Linked DNA regions of Ovis aries. The protein of the gene in region 2 interacts with the protein of the main gene of each other region in a pairwise test. Links are inferred from orthologs where the notes say so. Each region holds a gene or a part of one and is shown on either strand. Other genes may lie near its edges.

Region 1 (4,561 bases), on a different chromosome or scaffold from region 2:
CGGGGGAGACTTGCAAGATTTGTCAGGGAAGATGCTTCTAGCTCTCAGGACAGAGCCACCAGAAGAGACGGGGCATGTGGGTTCAGGGGGGCAGTGTCTGCCAAAGCAAGACAGCCTGAGGACGAGGCCACCTGCAGAGGTGCCCAGCAGAGCCGGCTGCAGAGACGCTGTGGAGACCAGGGGCCACCGCCCTGGGGACGCTGCCCAGAGAGTCTGTCCTCCAGCCAGAACATTTCCCCTCGTGGAGGCCAGTCCAGGTCAGGGTTTCTTCAAGAATAACTCAAAATGCCACTTCCTCCAGGGAGCCGCCTCTGATTGCTATTCTTAGTCTCATCGATGAATTGCTAACTCTCTCATTTCCAAACCTCCAGGGCCCAATATCCTTCTAATCTCAGATCTCTTCCTGCCTTCTTTTATTGTCATGCTCTAAGTCAGACCCCAGATACTCTTTAAGTCCATCCCTGAATCCCAGTCTCCCTAGGACAGGGCTTCAGAAAGAGCAGCATGTATCTGCTGAGTCAATTAGCAAATGAGAAAGTATTCATATCATATGAAACTTTAAGATAATTTTGTTGATTTTTATAAGAACTCTCTAGAACTCCATGGTGAATAGATATTTGCCATTTGAATAGTGATTCTAATTTTCACAGCTGGGAGACAGAATTCATTTTGCAGTAAAATGTATTTGCACTGGCTCCTTCCAACATGACAGATAGCTGCCACTCAGCACTCAGAGCAGCCACATGGCCGGGGTTATTGGGACGATGCGCACGCCTGTAGTCCTTACATCTAGCCAGTGACTCACTTGACGTCTGCTGCTCACTTTCATTACTCCTGACAGCCTCAGGGGAGGTCTTCTCCTCATTTTAAAGATGAGAAAAACAGAGACCGGGAAGGGGCTGACTAGGATAGCACAGCCTGCTGTCACAGACAGCACAGAGGAGTTGTGTGTAGCTCCAGTCCTGGGTCTGACGCCTGTGTCTGAATTTGTCGCTGCCAACTGTGTCCCCAGGCTGGGAGGCAGGCCAGTGGGTTCCCGGTTACTCTGCACCTCAAGGCTCTCCTGCCAGGAGCATCCCTCGGCCTTTCCTTTCAGTCTGTTTTAATAAAACCCAGCACACGCGAGGGGGACTTGGGGACCCTCAATCTCCTTCCTCTGTCCGCAACCACTGCTGGAAAGACAAGGCCCACGGATCGTGTCACCTCAGGCCTCTCGGAGAACACCTGTTTGGTTTTATGTTTAAACACTTACTTACATGACCGTCTTCACAGGGGTGGGGATTATGTTCAAGCTGCTACATTTAGCAAGCACCTATATTTAGCCACATGTACTGTAAGTGCCTCGTACCCCTTCTGTTTTTTAGGCGATATAACAGAGACTTAGCAGCACTCACTATGCGCCCGGCTCTGTGTTGATCCCTGGGGATGTGAAATGAGTAAGACGGTGCCTGCTTGGTGGCCGCCTTCCATGGGGGTCGGATAGGTGAACAGATATGGCTGAGGCCACGTGACCAGCACGGCAGGTGTAGGGAGCAAAAGCTAGAGGAACCCAAGTGCAGGCAGGGAGACATTAGCCTGGGCTGATGGGGGAGGTCCCACACGGGACACAAATCTACCGTAGGTTTTAAGAGATGAATAGGGGTTTTCCTGGAAAGCCCAGTTTCTTCCCACATGGAGAAAAATAAATGCTTTTATTCATTCAATATTCAACAAATACTGAGCGACAGCCACGAGTCCATAAAAGCCAGCCATCTAAGAAGTGGTACTAGAGCAGGCCTCCATAAATAGCTGAGTGAGGCAACCAGACACCACCGTCTACACCGCCTGGAGGTTTTTCCACGTGATGATAATGACATGTAGACAGCCTCTCCATCACACTCCAACACTTGGAAGAGAGTGGATGGGGAGGGGGCCCTGTCTACAGTGAGCCCACTGGCTAGGCAATCCAGAAGGCGTACAAAGGTGTCCTGTGACATGACAAGCCAAGCTCTGTCCCCTGTAGGCCCCAGGAATCTCACCCCTTCCCAGGGAACCTGCTGCCCCCGTCTCCCTGGCATCTTTACCCTGCGGTTTGTTTAGCCCAAAGGTTGAATTCTTGTGGGAGGAAAAAGCGTTTGTAAAAGTCACCCTAGCGGGGCTCCGTTAATTTGCACACTTCAAGTTCATCATCAATCGTTATAATAAACTCTGCCCTGGAAACTTTGATGAGAACCTCTCAGCGTGCCTGGGCCCGCTCTAAGCCTCGGTCCAGAAACGAGATCCAGGGAGACCCCGGTTCGCGCCCCAGAGGCGCCCTGTGTGACAATCGAGGCGACAGCGGGTCACACACAGGAGCCGGGTCATTTCGCCAGGGCCATGTGGCCTCCAGGGACTGTCCGCAGGCCTCCGGGGGTCGGGCCTGCGTCACCCCCACGATGCGGCGCACAACCTAGTCGGGCGCTCGCCCCCCACCAGGCCGGCCCGAGGCCACGGTGCGCAGGGGGGCGGCCCCCCAGTCCCGCTCGGCGAGGGCGCGGCGGCCGGGCGGGCCGGGGGCCTGGGGGGAGGGCTCGGCGTCGCCTGCCCGTCCCCGCGAAGGAGGACCCGCGCCCGGCCCGCCGAGGTGCCGGCCCGGCCCGCGCCCCGCCCGCCGAGCCGGCGGACGGACGCCCGACAGCCGCGGGGGAGCCCGGCGCCCGCGCCCCGCTGCGCCCGCGCCCCGCGCTCACCTCGCGCGCGATCTGGTTCAGCGCGTCGTCCTCCGCCGTCAGCCGCTCCCGGTTGGGGAGCCGCTTGCGCCCCGAGCCCTGCGTGCCCATGTCCATCGGCCGCGCCGCCCGCTGCGCCGCGGGACCCCGGCTCCGCCGCCCGCGCCCCTCCGGCCGCCCGGCCCCGCTGCGCCCCGCCCTCCGCCGGCGTCATGGCGTCAGCGGGCGCGGGCCGGGGACGCGGGGACGCGGGGACAGGGGCTGCGGACGCCCGGGGCGGGGGACGCGGGGGCCGGGGCTGCGGGACTGCGGGGACGCGGGGGGCAGGGGCTGGGGAGCCTGAAGCGGGGTGGGGGTGGGGGGACGCGGGGGCCGGGGCGCGCCAGATGGGGACCCGGGCGCGGGGGGCTGGAGTCTGGGGATCCCCGGGGAGAGGGGCACGGGACCCGGGCTGCGGGGATGCGCCGGAGAGGGACCCGGGAGCCAGATGCGCTGGGACTCCAGGGGCCAGGGATCTGGGCGCTGGGGGCTGGGGGCGCGGGGGACGCCTGGGGACCGTGCGCGTGGAGATGCGGGAAGTTTGGGAAGGCTGGGAGTCAGGGCAGCGGCATGAGGATGCGTGGGGCAAGGGGACTGGGGGAGTGAAAGCAAGGCGGAGGTGCAGGGACACTGAGACTAAGAGGGCTGGGGATTCCAGTGGGAGGCCGAGATGGGGGCGTGGGGACGACGGGACAGTGAACAGGAAAATGGCAGGAGGCCTGGGATGGCTCGGGGTGGGGAGCTTGTGGGCGCCAGAGGGGGCGGGGGTGATGGGGGCTCGGGTCCTTGGTGCGGACTGGGAACAAGCCACGGCAGAGAATTCAGACAAAGGAGGCGGAGCCGGAGATGCCTGGAGCCCCCAGGGTTTCCGGTTGGCCCGGTGGGGAGCCCTGGAGGGTGGACTTCCCTAGCAATCCTGGGCTGACCTCCCCAGCGCAGGCGCTACCCCTTGAGTCTGGACCCCAGCGAGGACAGGGGAGGACTCGAAGTGATTGGGTTGCAGAAAAGGGTTCGTACTAAAGGGTGGGTGTAGGGTTCTGGTTCAAACCTGCACCCCAGGTGAGATGAGGTCTGACCTCACAGATGCAGTCAGGTCTCAGTTCAGTTCAGTCACTCAGTCATGTCTGACTCCTTGCGACCCCATGGACTGCAGCACACAAGGCCTTCCTGTCCATTGCCAACCACTGGAGTTTACTCAGACTCATGTCCATTGAGTTGGTGATGCCACCCAACCATCTCCTCTGTCATCCCCTTCTCCTGCCTTCAATCTTTCCCAGCATCAGGGTCTTTTCCAATGAGTCAGTTCTTTGCATTGGAGTTTCAGCTTCAGCATCAGTTCTCCAGTGAATATTCAGGACTGATTTTCTTTAGGATGGATTGGTTGGATCTCCTTGCAGTCCAAGGGACCCTCAAGAATCTTCTCCAACACCACAGTTCAAAAGCATCTATTTTTCGGCACTCAGCTTTCTTTATAGTCCAGCTCTCACATCCATACATGACTACTGGAAAAACCATAGCTTGACTAGATGGACTTTTGTCGGCAAAGTAATGTCTCTGCTTTTTATTGTGCTGTCTAGGTTGGTCCTAACTTTTCTTCCAAGGAGTAAGAGTCTTTTAATTTCATGGCTGCAGTCACCATTTGCATGGATTTTGGAGCCCCCCAAAATAAATTTTGTCACAGTTTCCCTGTCTATTTGCCATGAAGTGATGGACCGGATGCCATGATCTTAGTTTTCTGAATGTTGAGCTTTAAGCCAACTTTTTCACTCTCCTCTTTCACCTTCATCAAGAGGCTCAAGAGGCTCTTTAGTTCTTCTTTGCTTTCTGCCATAAGG
Region 2 (4,362 bases):
ATAACCCCTCTTCCTCCCAGTTCCATAGAGCAAGATAGGGATGGAGCTCTGAGTCAGAGTTTCTGGCACAGATGGAAGAAGGCTGGACCAAAAGCATCAGAGTATAGACACACAGCAAGCCTGTCTTCTGTGCCCTTAGGGCTGAAACCTGCTCAGGCTTTCATGGTGCAGGACATTAGGGCAGGATGGCCGAGTGGGGCAGAACAGACCAGGGGAAGGCACCATGGCCACAACTGACAGAAGGAGAAACAGGAGCCACCACTGCGGCTCCCTCTCTGCCCAATGTCTGTGTGGTGACACTTTGCCACTTCACGGTGGTCACTGAAGGGCCATCTCGGAAAGTGCAGAGCTCAGCTTTAACCCGACTCCAGAGGTGTGCCCTTCGCATCTCAGGGCTCCAACCTTAAATGGGAACGACCACTGGAATGGCCTGAACATCTGGGATGGGAGGTTCCATGGAGAACAGCAGGGGGAATGACCCATCCAGACCACCTCCCCTGCCCTGCCCTGCCCCAGCTTTATCACTGGGGATAAACCACAGGCAAGTGACCTGCCCCCTTGGTCAGTGTCCTCTCTGTGAACTTGGTGGAGGTTGGGATCACATGAAAGACCCTTGAGAAATAGCTGGAGTGCTGCTCAGCCAGGATCAGCTATCACAGCAGTTCAAAATGGATCAGACTTAGGTTTTTTCACCTTTTCTCCTACGTGTTTCTCAACTCAGGTCATTACTGCATGCTCTCTCCCCACAAACCCCTGACACCAGGGTGGACAGAGGGGTTGGCCTTGCCCCCAGTCCCCACCTTGACTTCTGCAGTCTTGGGCAGCACTCACCCGCAGCGATGGTAGGCTGGACAGCTCCCCATGCAGCGTGGTTAGGTTGTTGTGGCTCACGGACAGGTGTTCCTGGGCCGGCACAGGGTGTAGAGGCTCAGCAGGGTGGGCTGGGCGTCCACAGAGCCTCCACTGGCACCACAGCCTTCCCCTGTCCAAGGACCCTCCCACAGAGCCCCCATCCACCACCAGGGCCTTGCCCCACCCAGGGATCTTCCCACAGAGCCCCTATCTGCTACCACAGCCTTGCCCTACCCAGGCACCCTAGGCCACCCAGGTCCAGTCCACTCTTGCACCTTTCTTCTTTCACACACCTAGTCTTCTTGCATACCTCCCAGGACAGGGTGCTCATCCTCTCTCCACCAGTTCTGCTTGTGACAGGCAATGTCCTGCACAGGCTCTGTCCACCTGGCTAGCCCCATCCACCTGGACCCTCCCCTTCCTGTCCAAAGCTTCTTACCAGCTTCTGCAGGGAGGCCAACTCCTCTGGCAGGTAGCAAAGGCCGGTGCGGTTTAGCTTCAGCCATCGCAGGCTGGTCATGGCCTTGACGTTCTCAGGGAAGTAGCCACCCTGCGGGTACGTCACAGTGAGGCTGGTCTGGGACATGGTACCCTTGCTCTGCCACCTTGTGGCCCCCACTGTCTGTGGGAGCCTTTGGGGGCAATAGTCATTTCTAGTTGTGTGTGTGACCCCAGACACATCACTTGGCCACTCTGTCTCAGTTTTCTCACCCGTAGAATAGGGCTGATGAAAGCCCCCTGATGACAAAAGCGTCCTGAGAACCCACTGGTGATTAGGATGGCTGCTGACCTAAGCCCCGCCTCTCCTGCTGGCTTCTTGGCCCAGGAAGGCTTATTCTAGATGCCACCCCAGAGTCAGCTGTGAGGTCGGATCAACTCAATGTTTTTGCCTTGCATCCAGGCCCTGCCTGTGCAATTTGTTGAACTGCACTTTGTGCCTCTGCCAAGGCCCCACCTGTGCCCTGCCACCCACCCCCTGCATGAGGCCCCAGCTCCCCACCCTTTCCCACACAGGCATAGCTTATTCATTAGTTCACTCACCCATTCGTCCCCCAGACTCAAATGCCCACCTCAGGACCCCAGCCCCGTGGCCAGAAACCTGGGGAGGTTAATGCCTTCAGTGCTCTGGGCTAGTGCCCCTTCTCCCTACGGCCACATTCCCTGCTGGTGACTCACTCTCCTAGACTGAAGAGGACACTTGGGGACTCCAGGTGAGGACGGTGGGGATGGAGGCAGAGGAGTGTGCACGGTGGCAAGTGTGGGTAAATACAGGAAGAAAGGGCCTGTCTCCTCTGCCCTGACCCCAGCCACTGCCTGGACCACTGGACCCTGCAGACCCAGGCTGATGCTCCACTGACGCCAGCCAGGGTCAGCCCACTCATCCACCCTGAGGACCCTCCTGGAACCAGGCCATCTCTCAGGGCCTCCTCTCTGGTCACCAGCCCTCCGGCCTCACTCTCAGTTCTCAAGAACCACTGTCCCGCCCCGAGGCTGGGCTGGTGTTCCCAGCCGCCCTGGTCCGCCAGTTCGGAAGCTGCTCAGACAAATGGCACCCAGGGCCTCGCCCACCTGCCCAACACGTCCTCCACAACTAATCCCCGCCTCCAGGGGTTTCAAGGTAAGCCTCTCCACCAGACGAGAAGACGAGGCTCCGAGAGGGGAAGTGACTTGCCTAAGACCACACAGGATGGGGGTGGCGGGTGCGGGTAGCGCAGAGCCGGCGGCGTAACCATGAGTCAGGGCCCGGCTTGGGCTGTGACCTCACAGGGGCGGGGAGGGCTGGGGAGGCGCGAGCTCGAGCTCCGACCGGGACCCCCGGCCGGCCTGCTGGGGCCAGGCGCCAGGACCCAGCCGGTGAGCAGACCCCGCGCGCCCCTGCGCAGCTCCGGGACCCTACGCGCGCCCGCCCGCCCCGCCCGGCCTGGGCTGTCTTCGCGGGCGCCGGGCGGAGGCCTGGGACGTTGGGCCGGGGCGGGGTCCGGGCAAGCCCGTCCGCGGTCCCGGGCGCGCAGGAAGCGGAGGGGCGGGCTGGGGGTCCCGGCCGTCGCCCAGAGGCTCACCTTGAAGTCGTTGCCGCTGAGGTCCACGCCGCGCACGAACGGCAGCACCCCGGTGCCCTCCATGGCGGCGCTGGGCTGAGGGGAGAGGACCGCGGGCGGGGCCCGGCGCTCGGGGCGGGGACCGCGGAGCCGGCGGGGCGGGGAGCGCGTCGGCCCCGCCTCTCAGCCCGGGGCCGCTCGGGGCCAGCCCTGGGGCGCGGGGCCTCGAGGAGCGCTGTGTCCCGGTGCCCTAAAGGGCCTTCTCGGCCCCCGGCTGTTCCTGAGCTGGTCAACGCCGGGGACCTGGGTGGTTCGGGCGGCAGTGGCAGTAGGACGCCCGGGTCCTCGTCCGGAGCCACGAGCCTCCGGGAGACGCTCCGGGGCCAGTGCCCACACTCTTATGCGTCCTGGGTCGGAGGCCAGCCCGGGTGCGCGGTTACGTGCCCGCTTGCCCCTCGAGGGAGGCCTCCCTGGGCCGGCACATAGCGGTCCCAGTAAGTGACAGGACCAGTATACCCTTCACGGGAGAGGCGGCCGCAGACTACAGTGACCAGGAGCCCCACCGGATGCTTCCTTTGCCAGGAAGGAGCTCACGTTCCCACCTGCCGAGTCCTGGAGCGTGGCCCTGCGCCTTTAAGGCGGAGCTTGCCGAGGAGCCACGCCCCGAGGGGCGCTCGGCCGCCATTGGCCGAGGCCGCCTCAGGGCGGCACGTGGGCACTGGCCTTGAGCGCTCTGATTGGAGTCGGGGCCTGTCCGTCTGCGAGCCTGGGGCCCGTGCCCGCCCCAGGCCTTGGCGTTCGACTCCCGGGTCCTGCACGTTCCATTCCCAGGCGGCCCCGGGGCGCGGCCCGAGCGGCCCCCTGAGTCCCCTGGCTGGGGCGCCGAAGCCGCGACGCAGGTACGGCCGGGGCACGGGGCGTGGCCTCTATCGGCCGCGCGGTTCCGGCCGGGAGAGAACCGGCTCGAGCCGAGTTCTGGTCGCTTCTTGGGCCCATCCTGGCGTTCCCCGGGCCTCGGTGTCCTCGCGGCCGGGGCTTGGAGGAGGCTAGGGGAGGCGTGGCCTTTCCCTCTCCCCTTCCCTGGTTAGGGTCTGCGGGCCCCAGGTCAGACAGGCAGGGGCTTTGAGCGCTTTACAGTTTGGAGGCGGTTGGCAGTCCTGATGAAGGAAGCCGCCGCCGGGCCATGCTGGGTCAACCCCCTCCGCTGTCTTTCCTATTTTTAGCTTGGGAAAGGGGGATGGGTGCGGGGCTGCAGGCCCCACTTGGCAACCGGGCTCCGGCACCCGGTTCTGGGAGCAGGGCAGCCAGAAGTCATTGGGGCTGAGTTGGCTCTGAGCTCAGCGTCATCTGTTCAGGCATCCTCAGGGTGACAGTTCTGCCTGGCCATCTGACTGGTCCCTTGGGCTTGTCCCTTGGTCACACACCCCCCTCAGTGCTCAGGGCCTGAGAGCTGGGGCTCAGCCTGCAGGGC

Evidence for each region.
Region 1: the proteins of FLII (region 2) and LRRFIP1 interact in binary tests that used the Homo sapiens proteins (3 or more experiments, as listed by UniProt). The link is inferred for Ovis aries from reciprocal best matches to the Homo sapiens genes FLII and LRRFIP1.

The regions. Positions count from the first base shown.
Region 1 is NC_056054.1:3,570,534-3,575,094, forward strand, and holds the start of LRRFIP1 (leucine-rich repeat flightless-interacting protein 1), read right to left. Parts: upstream 2,877-4,561; 5' UTR 2,805-2,876; coding exon 2,709-2,804; intron 1-2,708.
Region 2 is NC_056064.1:34,133,935-34,138,296, reverse strand, and holds the start of FLII (protein flightless-1 homolog), read right to left. Parts: upstream 3,004-4,362; 5' UTR 2,976-3,003; coding exon 2,913-2,975; intron 2,707-2,912; exon of another isoform or gene 2,602-2,706; intron 1,403-2,601; coding exon 1,292-1,402; intron 942-1,291; coding exon of another isoform or gene 904-941; coding exon 832-903; intron 1-831. UniProt on the Homo sapiens protein: Is a regulator of actin polymerization, required for proper myofibril organization and regulation of the length of sarcomeric thin filaments. It also plays a role in the assembly of cardiomyocyte cell adhesion complexes.